Arabidopsis thaliana: one gene and its partner. The protein of the gene in region 1 interacts with the protein of each later gene in a pairwise test. Each region holds a gene or a part of one and is shown on either strand. Other genes may lie near its edges.

Region 1 (6,456 bases):
TGCGTCACTTTTTCTTTTTTGATGTCGTAAACACAAATGGTAACACTGGTAACAAAATATTGAAAGATAGAAAAAAAAAAAAGTATATAGGATATGATTGGTAATCTCTTATTTGTGTCACTAATCGATTGAATTCTATATTTTTTTCGTATTTATGTGTTGGACACTAAAATTATCAAATATTTAGCAAATTTCCCTGCTGCATTTCGTGAGTTAAAGTATTCCTCCCGCCAATTCAACTTAACCGGTAGTAGCCGGTCACCATTCCAACGACAACCGGTTATAAGAAAGCCATCCCCAAAATTGAAAACATTTTCATCGTCTTCTTAATCAAAAAAAAAAAAAAAAAAAAACTCTGAAGCTTCTTCTTTGATTAATTCTCTCCTGGGGAAAAAAAACCCTAGCTCTTCCTTCTTCTCTCTTCTCTTGAATTATCTGCTTTCGAATTTTTTGAAAAGGGAGAAACTTTTTCATCTGGGTCTCTCTCTCTCCCGAGTTTGGATGAAGTTTATTGAAACCTAGGGTTTTTCTCCGACTTGGTTGTTGATTAGAGATAATGAGTGCAATCAAAATCACCAACGTCGCTGTATTGCATAATCCTGCTCCTTTTGTTAGCCCTTTTCAGTTCGAGATTTCTTACGAGTGTTTGAATTCTCTCAAAGACGGTAAAAATCTCCTCTTTCTCCTTCCCCTGAATTGTAATTCATCTCGACTTTATTTAGGTTTTAGTCTCTGCTGATTCTTATGGATTGTTTTCAACACCAATTTGTTGCTGCTGATTGTAATTGGAACATATTGTTACCTAATTGCTTTGTCAGAGTCATGCTCTAATGGTTTGTTTTCTAATTGATAATCTAGAGTCTTGTTGTCTATTAGTTGGATTTATCTATGCACAAGTTCTTGGTTAACATTGTTATAGGGTGAGGATAACTTAGATAGACCCGTGCTTTTGCTTGTGGTACAGATTTGGAATGGAAGCTTATCTATGTAGGCTCAGCAGAAGATGAGACTTATGATCAACTTCTAGAGAGTGTGCTTGTAGGGCCTGTTAATGTTGGCAACTACCGCTTTGTATTTCAGGTAACATATGCACTACTACCTCTTCCAAGCACCAACAAAGTCTTGGTCTAACTCTCTATTACTACTGTTACAGGCTGATCCTCCGGATCCATCAAAGATTCAGGAGGAAGACATCATCGGTGTTACTGTGCTATTGTTGACATGTTCTTACATGGGTCAAGAGTTCTTGAGAGTTGGATATTACGTGAACAATGATTATGAGGATGAGCAACTCAAGGAAGAGCCTCCAACTAAGGTTTTGATTGATAAAGTTCAGAGGAACATACTTTCCGACAAACCTAGAGTTACTAAATTTCCTATAGATTTTCATCCAGAAGAAGAGCAGACTGCTGCTACTGCCGCTCCTCCTGAACAATCTGATGAACAACAACCTAATGTCAATGGTGAAGCTCAGGTTTTACCTGATCAGTCAGTAGAACCAAAACCTGAGGAATCATGATCCTTATACCAAGTCTAGTTGAAGAAAAGTGGATGAGAATTGAGAACTATTGTCTCCACAGATGTTGCGCTTTGCTTTTCTGTCTTTCAAAAGCATTATATGCTGTTTGTTGTACTTAATTCTAGAGGCTTTAGGGAAGTGATTCTTGACATTTTTGTATGTTTATGTTTTGGGCAAAGGTTTTTTAAATCGAAGCAAAGCCAACAGTTGCCAAACAAGATTCTGAGTTCTGATGGTTGGAATTTGGTAATAGGTGTAGAATAACTTCCCTAGATTTTCTCAAGGTACAAAGCGACATTTGATCTTCATCATTTGTTGAAAAAAGTGCCGTTAAATGGTCATAGTTAGCATTGATGATGATGATTATCATCATCATCAACCATAATTCTTTCACCAAAAAAACATGAGTCCGTGATTTTTTTAGGACCGTTTCACAGTTGTTCTGCCAAAAATATGAGTCCGCATTTATTCACCAAAAAAAAAAAAAAAAAAAAAGTAGTACACATTACAATTTCTCGCCTAACGATTTTACTCTGTGGTAAACCGAAAGATAGTTAAAAACGGCTCCATTTCGATTACTTTGAAAAAAAAAAAATGTTTGTTTTGTTAAAAGAAAATATCTTTTAAAATATTAAAAAATATTTTATTCAAACTTTTATTAATACAGATCTAATTACTAAACTCAATAACATTATAAAAGCCGTGTTCGGCTAAGCCCAGTAAGCCCTATATGTTTTGAATAAATACGATATTTTATAATAAACAGATTGTTGTTTTTAAATACCTAATAATACATAATATATTCCTATACTTGACAATAACGAATAAGAATTATATTACCTATTATTTTGGATTTCGTAAAATTATTTTATATTTTTTTTAGGTAAATGGTAAATTTGTAAAAAATAGCTACTTTGATATTTATATTGTGTATTATTTTCTACTCGATAAGATTAATCATCAATAGTTCGAGGTGGAGGGTTAAATTATCTAGGGTCTGATGATCATGTAGAATCACTTCCTGCAAACAAATCACGAGTGTTAGCATATTTATGCTATCCACAGTATCATATGGCTGTTTCTGATTATTTCATAAATATAAGGTTCGTTTCATAAAACACAAAATCTTACGGGTATAAAATTGAAACCAAAGAATTCAATTTCTTAAAAGTGTTTCACTAGGAGCCCTCGTACTTCCTCGAAGTGTACCGGAGAATCTAAACCCAATGTCGAAATCCGGCGATAATCAACCAGTTGATAGATACCTCCGCCGTCAAATCCTCGGAGAAGGAACATACGGTGTCGTTTACAAAGCCACCGACACAAAGGTAAAATCAAAAACCCTTCCCGATTTCGTTTTCAATTTCATCAAGATTTTCAAACTCAACAATCTTCGATTTTGTGATTTCCTTAGACTGGGAAAACTGTAGCAGTGAAGAAGATAAGATTAGGAAACCAAAAGGAAGGAGTAAATTTCACAGCTTTAAGAGAAATCAAGCTACTAAAAGAGCTGAATCATCCACATATCGTTGAACTCATTGATGCTTTCCCTCACGATGGAAGTTTGCATCTAGTTTTTGAGTATATGCAAACAGATTTAGAAGCAGTGATTCGTGATCGTAATATCTTTTTATCTCCTGGTGATATTAAGTCTTATATGTTGATGACTTTGAAGGGTTTAGCTTATTGTCATAAGAAATGGGTTCTTCACAGGTAAGAAGTTATGCTTAGGTTTATAAAGATTTGATTTTGATTGTGTTGATGGTTTGTTTTTGGTGTGGTTGTTAGGGATATGAAGCCGAATAATTTGTTGATTGGAGAGAATGGTTTGTTGAAGTTGGCTGATTTTGGTTTGGCGAGGTTGTTTGGGAGTCCGAATCGGAGGTTTACTCATCAGGTATTGATGCTATGATTGATACGGTTTTGAGCTTGGTAGCTAGGTTAGTGTAGTTCTTGATGATCTTATTGGATTTATTGGTTAGGTATTTATATAGTTATTGATATTTATGGTTGCATTGGTAGCTAGATTAGTCTGGAGTTTGTAGTAAATATCTTGGTACTTCTTCTTGATGATCTATTTTGAATTTTATGCTCAAAATGAAGAGTCGGTACAGAGTATTGAGAAGATATCATACTTTATGTGTGTTTGGTTTTGGTGAGGTGAAAGATTGTATTGACATTTTTTTACCCTAGAAGATTCTGAGATTGATTAGTTATGAAGAAATCTCTTCTATTTTTTGTTTGAATTGACAGGTAGATTAGTCTTGTTCTTGATGATCTATTGGTTTTTTTTTGCTGGGACAAACTAAGAGTATATATAGTGCATTGAGAAGACATACTATGTTTTTAATTCGAATGCTTGCATACCTATGTTATTGGTTTCGGTTGGTGATTACAAGTTTAAGTTTCCGGATAGCATTTTGTTGATTACGGTCATATTAACATTTTGACTCAAGAAGATTCTGCAATTGATTAGTTCTGTAGAAGTCTCTTTTTGCTGGATATGGAAAAATTGATACAGAGTATTAAGAAGACATCATACGGTTTTAATTTTGATTCTTGCATACCTGTGTTTTTCGATTTTGGTGAGATGAGAGATTGATGGTTCAAAGTCACCAGATACAGTTTTGTTACTTACGGATGTATTAACATTGTTACTTTAGAAAGATTCTGAGATTTATTGGTTGTGTAACTTGTGTAGATATCTCATTTGGTTAGCTATTTGTATCTGCTTGTGGAAGATTCGTTAAGTTTAAATTGGTTATACTTATTCACACAGGTATTTGCTACATGGTACAGAGCGCCTGAGTTACTGTTTGGGAGTCGACAGTATGGAGCAGGAGTTGATGTTTGGGCTGCAGGCTGTATTTTTGCTGAGTTACTACTTCGTAGACCATTTCTTCCGGTAATGCTCTATACCCTTCGTACTTCATGTTTAAAAAGTCTGTAGTTCTCTAAACATTTCCTATACTTTCTTCAGGGTTCTACTGAGATTGATCAACTTGGAAAGATCTTTCAAGCGTTTGGTACTCCAGTACCTTCCCAATGGTCTGACATGATCTATCTCCCAGACTACATGGAATTCTCCTATACACCCGCTCCACCATTACGTACCATTTTCCCTATGGCAAGTGATGACGCTTTGGATCTTCTAGCAAAAATGTTCATCTACGACCCACGTCAAAGGATCACAATACAACAAGCTTTAGACCACAGGTATACTCTTGAAAAAGAAACCCACGGGACAAAAATTCTGTTTCATCACTCTGATTATCATTGGTTTTTTCATCAGGTATTTCTCGTCTTCTCCATCACCAACTGAGCCAGGGAAGCTTCAGATTCCAGCTTCCAAAGGAGACGCACTCGAACCAAAGGCCTCCGAGCAAAACCAACATGGAAATAGCCCAGCGGTACTGTCTCCTCCTGGTAAAATGAGGAGAGTGATGGGTCCTGAAGGATTCACTTGAGAAGATGATGTTTCATTTCTTTTGGAAAATATCAATGGATATGCCCAGAAGATTTCAAAATTAGATTTTTACCATTGATAATTCAATATTAGTTAACTATCAAAGAGAAAAAATTTAAAGCCATAAATGTCCTTCTTAGTTCTTACTTTGTTTAATTTACCAAATATGTCATGTATCAACTATTGTTATAATTTCACTATATATCAACTATCTTACCATATTAATATAAATATTATTCAGATATTTAATATGTTAGCACGTTATATTCAGTATAACATGTTATTATAAAGTTAAATTGATTATTTCATATTAATTTGTATGATATGGTAAATGGTTTAATACGATATATAAAAATTTATCGTGATACTATACTAGTTAACATATTAATCAAATAGTTATATATATTTAGCACGATACTATACTAGTTAACATGTTAATCAAATAGTTATCCACATAAATCATAAATATTTTATGCAATCCAATGATAAATACGACAGTGTCGTAAATTTCGGATGAATAGTGTCTTCAGGCAGTTGATGAACAGTATCATGTCTAAAATATCCGGTAATAAATAGTGTTTTGAGACAATGACATATTTAGTAAATTAAACAAAATGAAAAAGGAAATTTATGATTTTAATTTTTTTCTCTTTCATACTTACCTAATATTAAACTATCTATAATAGATATCTAATTTTCAAGTCTTCCAGGCATATACATTAATATAGCTCTTTCCTTTTTTCCTTTCCTTGACTATAATCACTAATGGAGAGGTATATACAGTAATGACTTTAATTTCTAGAATTGCGTTTCGTAATGCTTTTCTACAAAGTAGTTACCATAAAAAAATATCAAACGAGAAGCCATCTTTTGACCTCATCCATGTCTAATATCTATTGACGTTAAATTCCTTCGAACCTTAAACTGATAAAAAAAAATTATCTTCAATAAACTTAAATTTATGATATAACACTGACCGAAGAAAAAACTAATTTTTCTAAAGAAAACACATTTAATGTTTAATTATAATTGCACTAAATTCTCACTCTAAACATTTTTCCATGACTATGAACCAATAATAATTCAAATATATGTACACGTGAGTGTCTTAATCAGTGGTTGATCATATTCATATTGTCAATTTGTGATTAATATTCATTGGGAAGCAGTGATCTTGTTGTATAGGGACTAGGCTTTCACAATATCTGCAATTTCCACTCCTATTGGCGATCCATACATATTTCATTGGCCCACTAAAAAAATAAATTCCAAAACAATTGGCATTACTACAAATACTTACTCTTTCGGTTTCATAAAGAATGTTTTTCTATAATTTTATATTTGTTCATAAAGACTTCTAAAACTAATCACTTATTAAATATGGACTCATGTATATATATATATTTTTTTTAATTTGTATGAAATGTGTCAAAATGATATTTTTTCAAGCCGATGAAGTACTAAACAATCT
Region 2 (6,854 bases), on another chromosome or scaffold:
GATCCTCTTTCAAATTCTTTAGAGGAAGTTGATATACGTAACGTCTTTCACTGCGACGGCTTATTACTATGCAGCACCAAAGACAATAGATTAGTTGTTTGGAATCCATGTTCAGGTGAAACAAGGTGGATCCAACCTAGAAGTTCCTACAAGGTATCAGACATCTATGCTTTAGGTTATGATAACACATCCTCATGTCACAAAATCTTGAGGATGGATCGATCTGAGGACCGTATCCCAATTCAAACTGAGTACCAAGTCTATGACTTTACCTCTAAATCGTGGCTAGTTGATGGTGTGGCTGGAGGCTTGTTCATACCAAGTATTGGGACTCGGAGACGTGGCTTGTCTGTGAAGGGAAATACTTACTGGCTTGCTCTTACTGAAGACGGACCGCCATTTGATATGTTCTTATTATGTTTTGATTTTTCGACTGACGGATTTCGACGTCTGTCTCTTCCGACGGATACTCCTTGTACTTATTATGATGTGTCTTTATCAGTGACTAGAGAAGAGCAACAACTTTGTATGTTTAAGAGTCATGGCTCTGAGTTATGGATAGCAACTAAGATGGAGAGTACCGGAGCCATTTCATGGAGCAAGTCCCATCGTTTTCACTTTAGAATTGATGAGATGACTGTCTTGGCTGACCAAGAGAAGCCCGTTTTCGTGTATCGCTTCAAACCCAAGTCCAACATGTTACACATTGTGGGAGAGCATATATACATCATACAAGTGGATCAGCATAGTGCAGATTCTAAATGTCCATATCTCCTTACTTATGTTCCAAGTTTGGTTCAAATCCAACAAAGTATCTAAAAGTGTAGTTTTCTTTTAAGAGGCTAAAGGAAAGTACTAGAGCTAGTGTGATTTATGATTGTCCCACTAATTTATGTAACGATTTTAAATATCGGCTTGAAACCTTCCAGAAATATATCATTAACGCTCTAATATTGTTCATTAGAAACTCAGATATCAACCCCATATTTCCAGATTGACGTTTTTTAAACCTCCAATTTTGATACTCTACAAAAGGGAGGTCAAAAGATAAAAGAAAGAAACTACAAAATTTCAGCTAGTCAAGAAGAAGAAAAGAGGAACCAAACAACATTTTATTGGTCCTACTATTTTAAAAGGACCCGTATAAAGTAGCAAAAGGGGCTTGTCATTTCTGCAAATTCAGCTTGACCTTCTCCAACACTTTCCATAATGCAGACTTAGCTTCTTCTAGTGTCTCAACACCATGACCTTCCTCAAATGCTAGCCTTTGTATGTTAAACTGCAAAAAAACAAAACAAACAATTGAACAAAGAAAGATAAGCTGAGAAGCACTGTGCATGATCATAATTGTGTCGACATCAACTGGACAAAACTAATTAATACAGTGTTATTTTACCTGAGCACCTTGACGAACCCGTACATCTATTCCTTTGCTATCTATTGAAATGAGAGCAGCATCGTCTACCTCTGATTCAGTAGACAGTAGCTCTCTCAGCGGTTTCGAGAAGATGGCATTTAGTTCCTATCAGAAGTTTTAGGGAAAATACGTTAGAGCACACTCGAATCAAATCCAGCTTACAAAAGGCCAAGAATGAGGAGCAAGTTTATTGGAGTCTCTAAGGCGACCAACAGGGATTTGAAACAACGCACCTTGAGGTTCCGCTCACCACCATCAACAGCTATCTTATCTGGTTGTAAACCTTCATACTCTTTGACATCAACCCAAGCGACCGTGCCAAAGCCTCCAATGAAATATATATCACTGCCAATTGTCACATTGAGTGTGGAGTGGATAAGTAATAGGAGACAAACAATCATCCGACAAGTATTGGTAACTTGGAAGGCACAAGTTTTGGAACAAACCTTATGTTCTGCATTCTAAAATAATGAAAGTTTCCCCATTGCTCTGAAGGCCCGTGCGGGTGCTTTGCAATATATTGCTTATGGGCCCACTCCTACCAAGCCACAACCAGAGATATTACGAGCCATTACTCAGACATACAGATGTTTGGCTGGTGAGATTCATGCATCGACAACCATAAATAGAAAAGGAAAAATGTAACTAGACACCCACCTGTTCATCCTCTGACAATGGGTACACATCACCAAATAATGTCACTCTTGCATTCGATAAGCCACTCCATCCGGGTATCTGCCAGCCAAATCAACGGTTACATAACATAAAGGGTAAACCTTTTGCTCGTATAATTTAAACACAATAGCCAATGTTACCTGAACAACGAGGCTGCATCTAGGTTCATTCAAGAGATTTCGTGTGTGGATGGCCAGCGGTGAAAACAAAAATATTGGATCTGATAAGAAAAAGTAGAAGCCATTCAAGAAATGAGCATCTATTGTATCTCAAAACATTAACTGTACCATTATAATTCAGTATTGCCTTCAATACACAGATACAAAAACACTCCTACATGTACACCTCTAATGAAATTTAAGGAAAAGAGGGAAAAAAACAACTTTGACTTCACTTCCTACTATGCGTTCCCACAAAAATCAAATCAATTTTACAGTTAGAGGAGTTATGACTAAGAACCAATTGTCGACTAGCAAATAATTAAACTGATACTCTGAGAAAAATTGAGCGTGCAACAAAAGAAGACACTGTAGAACTAGGAGCAGTCAACAAAGAAAGAAAGACTCAGTGACTTACGCCCCATCCGATCAGGTGCAAAATCTACCAATGAGCCAAATGGGTACCCTTCCCTGCGGTGGTGCATTTTGGACATCACTGTGCACAGATGAGCAAACCTAGCCTTGAATCATAAAAACACAAGACAAGACAGATAAAGAACTTAAATAATCTTTTCTCATTGAAGTAAAAAAGGAAGAATACAAACCATCTAAAGGACAAACCCTTTTACCTGTTCCAACAAGTTCCGTACAGCTAAAGCAGGCCGAGGTAAAGCATGAGCTGATGTAGCATTTTGAACACCACCAGATATTGGAGTTCTAAAAAGCCCAGCTCGATTTCCTCCACCACCTTGAGGATGTGCAAGAGATGCCTCCACATCGATTACACTATGAGAAGTTTCACCATTGCTATTACTCCCGAGCTTTTCCTTCACACAACATTACAAGCTATTAATCTCTATGTCAAAGCAAACCATTACGTGGTATCATCTTTCCGCTAATCTAAGATTCGATTCTACACAAACTCTGCATCAAAACCAAAGTTTTGTGTCCAAAATTGTAATCTTTTGCTGAATTTTTGCATACCCAAAACAAAAGTTATAATCTTTAGTTGAATTTATTCATCACAAGACAAGAGAAAAAGTACCTGTGATAAAGAGAAGATATCCCCAGGAAAAAAACCAAACCCATTATTATCTTCACCTTCACTTGGCGTCTCGTTACGTAAGAGAGCTTGTATACGAAGCCCGTGACTTGATCCATTACTGAGTCTCAGCTTCGGGAATTGCGTTTTGGGTAGCGAATTACAAAACCAACACGAAGACTGGGAAGAAGTGGGCAGCGGAGATTTGAGGAGAGGCTTAGTCTGTAAATTGGGTGTGTGTGTTGAAGTGAAGAGAGCTTCCATGGTGGATGAGAATAAGATTTTGGTTGAAGAGTCTTCTGATCTTTCACTATAGGCAGATGCTTCAGGCGTCTTTGTTGAAAGTAGCTTTAGGAATTAGGACTTTTCCAGAGTAGGGTTTGTATAACACACACATACATATAAGGGTTTTTCTTTTTCTTTTGGCTTTTTTTTTATAGTTGGATTACGATTACTTTTGTCCTTAGGAATTACTTTTGATGTATTTTCTATTCTCTTTTGTTTTGTTTTGATGTTGATAATAACGAATTTTCCTTGAAATAAGAAAATCAGTTTCTTTTCAATTTACAATTTTTATTGATAATAACATAATATTCTAAGAAATTATCTTTGTTTAAAAAAATTGGGAAAGAAAAGATTTCAATTTCATCTCAAAAGAACCTGATAATGACTATTGGATTACCATTATTCCGTTTCTAAAATCTTCTTACTGTTGATTAAAAAAATTAAATCTCCTCTAAAGAAATATCTATCATCTCAATTGGTTCAGACCATTTTTAGTTTACGTTGAAAAGAAAGATCAAACAGATCAATGACACAAACTATAATTAAGGCACTAAACACTAAATGTCCTAATTTGCATAATGCGGGACCCATGTCAATAATATTTCTCAAACGTTGTCGTTTTCAGCCCATCCTTCCTCCGAATCCACGCGCCACCGTCTAAGCTGCTGCGTCATTGCACGCGCCAATTTGCTTTCAACCGCTCGAATCATCCCAGCTGAAACTCCAGTCACATCTTCTACTTTCTTTAAATTCTGCCACGTCGTCGTGTTCTTAACGCCGAACCAAAACGCCGCCGCTAAGAACACTCTCTTCGTCGCTCTTGGCCTCGTCTCCACAGCCAAAGCCAAAGACGCATATGAAACGACAGCGTTTGTTAAATCCCTGTTTAGTCCTAACTTACCACACCAATTTACAAAAATGCCATCCGCCACCGTAACCGCAACGGCCTTGGCATTCACTCTGTTTTCCCTCCCTCGCGCTCTGTTTACGTCACGCGTCGTTGACGATAGCTCGGAGCTTGAGACACAGTCAAGAGACGAGCAGCAAGAAGAAGACGACGATTCTGAACAACATGTTGTTCGTGGAGGCCAAGGAAGAAGAGGACCAGAAACGAAATTTTGAGTAAGAGATTTGCAATTTGGGCAGATGACACGCCGGAAATGACGAGCGAAGAGAAAATTTGAGGCATGGAACTTAGCGTCACAAGAACGGCAGAGGAAGGCAGAGTCCGCGGCACAATGGAGATCAGCTTCGGCACCACAAAGCTCGCAAAAGCTCACCATTGAGTCGATCTCTCTGATCACCAGAAAGAAGTGAGAGAGAATTGGTTTGGAATGATGATGGTGGGAAGAGAGATTTAAGGAAGAGATGTAAATGATTGAGGGAGAGAAAGAGCGGTGGAGTTTTTATGGTTCATGGTTGATGAGAGTAGTCTCTTCCACAGTTCACACATCAAAGAAACTTACATGAGCCATAATTTTTTAGGGAAATGAAATGAATGGTGTTTGTAGAATTGGAGAGAATGACGTGTCGTGAGGTTTTGAGGCTGGTGAGATTATGTGGTCATTTTTAAAACTATTACACTAGCCGCCAAGTCATTCGTCTTCCTTTTGGTGTGACGTGGAGATTTAGTCAACACTAATGTCTTTTCAGAGACTTGGTCTCATTGCAAATTGCTTCTTCTTCTTTTCTTGGTTGCTTCCATTACATTTCTTCTGCATTGTTGCAGTCTTTTATATAAACTTTTATACATTGATCTTTTGTCGAATACAAAACAGAAGATAATACTCTTAATTTATAATCTAAGGAGTAAGGATACAAAACACAAGGTGTAAACTGTGGTGAACCTGTTTGGGTTCTGATCCCAACTAGTACAACAATAGTCTATATCTTGAAATCTTTCCAAAAATGGTTTCTTAAATAAAAGGGTCTTTGAATAGCCAAGCTAAATCCAATTGCTCTGTTAAGATATATCCATAGAGCCCCTCCTACGAATCACACTGTGACCTCTCCAGGGAGTTTTACTTCTTTGTTATCCGACCATAATGCCTCTGGCGTATTCTAAATGCCGGTTTTCGTAGCAGTACTTTGTTGGATTGTTTGAGATTTACCTGATCGTTTCGAGACTTAATCTTAAGTGGATGAGCTTCGGTGTTGAATACCCACTCGTCTAAAGGAATGACTGTTGTCGGCGAGAAGAGTAGATAGAGATACTTGAGTGTCTCTGCAAGGAAGAAACTTTGCATCTTGTTGTCCTTAACGCCTGTATTAACCTGGAAATGATTGAAAGAAATAAGAATCTACCATCAGTTACACTCAATTACTAATATAGATGGTGGAATGATATAATTCAATTCACCAAGGTTTTAACAATGCAGGATCTAATTAAGCGCCTACGGAAAACTTACATCCTTCAAACCAACATATCCAGACTCTATGCGCGAGTTCTTCTCAAATGCTTCAAATATATTCCATCCCCACTCTTGATATGTCTTGTTTCCAGTTAACCGCCAGAGGTAAAACAGTGATTCGACAGTTTCTGGTCTCAAGATGTTCCACGACGTTCCAACACTCATGTCCTGAATCATCATGTATACTAAACAATAAATAACGCATAAAATAAACAATGTGTTTGAAAAAGACAGGCAAATGACATACACTCCCAGAGTTGAAGAAATAATTCTCCCCAGCCAGTTTTGTTGGAGTTGATTGGTAAAAGTTATAACATGTCCACGCAAGCTGCAAAATATGTGGAAAATAGCAATAAAGGCTATATCTCAGCAGCCTAAATCAGAAAAGCAGAGAGCGAAAAATTCGAAAGATCTGAAGCACTTACGACGCTATGATCAAAGATCATTCAAGTCATAAGTTTACCTCTTCAGCGAGTGTGAGAAACTTCTTTCCTTCAGCAGGATCACTATACCCAGATGCTCCTAAAGCCAACATTCCAGGAGCAAAGCATGCCAATTCATCCATCTTAATATATATGAGAAATAATGAGATTGGAAATGCCAGGCGATGAAGAATTTTCACGTAATACAATGGAAACAATGAACAGATGGGTTTACCTTATCGATCAAAGAATTTCCACTCTTCTCACAGATATATGTAAACGACAAAGGTGTTGATTTCTTAACCAAGCTTAGCAGACCATTCATTGACTTCTCCCACATATCTCTGATGCCAAGATGTCAAGTAATAACAGTACAAATTATTATTGTTCGGCTAAAGATGTTGAAACTAAAAGACCAGAAAAGAAAAGAAGAACATAGATATC

The links. The genes of interacting proteins can lie anywhere in the genome.
Region 2: the proteins of CAK4 (region 1) and AT3G21140 interact in a protein complementation assay, tested with the Arabidopsis thaliana proteins (one study listed by BioGRID).

Annotation. Positions count from the first base shown.
Region 1 is NC_003070.9:24,892,030-24,898,485, forward strand, and holds CAK4 (CDK-activating kinase 4), read left to right. Parts: upstream 1-2,493; 5' UTR 2,494-2,745; coding exon 2,746-2,847; intron 2,848-2,933; coding exon 2,934-3,232; intron 3,233-3,307; coding exon 3,308-3,416; intron 3,417-4,298; coding exon 4,299-4,424; intron 4,425-4,499; coding exon 4,500-4,735; intron 4,736-4,811; coding exon 4,812-4,986; 3' UTR 4,987-5,230; downstream 5,231-6,456. Other genes in the region: SGA2 (ASF1 like histone chaperone), read left to right, coding at 557-665, 965-1,080, 1,154-1,519.
Region 2 is NC_003074.8:7,408,531-7,415,384, forward strand, and holds AT3G21140 (Pyridoxamine 5'-phosphate oxidase family protein), read right to left. Parts: upstream 3,928-6,854; 5' UTR 3,557-3,927; coding exon 3,296-3,556; intron 3,078-3,295; coding exon 2,880-3,077; intron 2,772-2,879; coding exon 2,669-2,771; intron 2,313-2,668; coding exon 2,233-2,312; intron 2,153-2,232; coding exon 2,075-2,152; intron 1,956-2,074; coding exon 1,864-1,955; intron 1,763-1,863; coding exon 1,651-1,762; intron 1,523-1,650; coding exon 1,397-1,522; intron 1,280-1,396; coding exon 1,166-1,279; 3' UTR 891-1,165; downstream 1-890. Other genes in the region: AT3G21130 (F-box and associated interaction domains-containing protein), read left to right, coding at 1-819; BBX32 (B-box 32), read right to left, coding at 4,183-4,860; MNS2 (alpha-mannosidase 2), read right to left, coding at 5,599-5,850, 5,986-6,156, 6,236-6,316, 6,452-6,553, 6,646-6,754.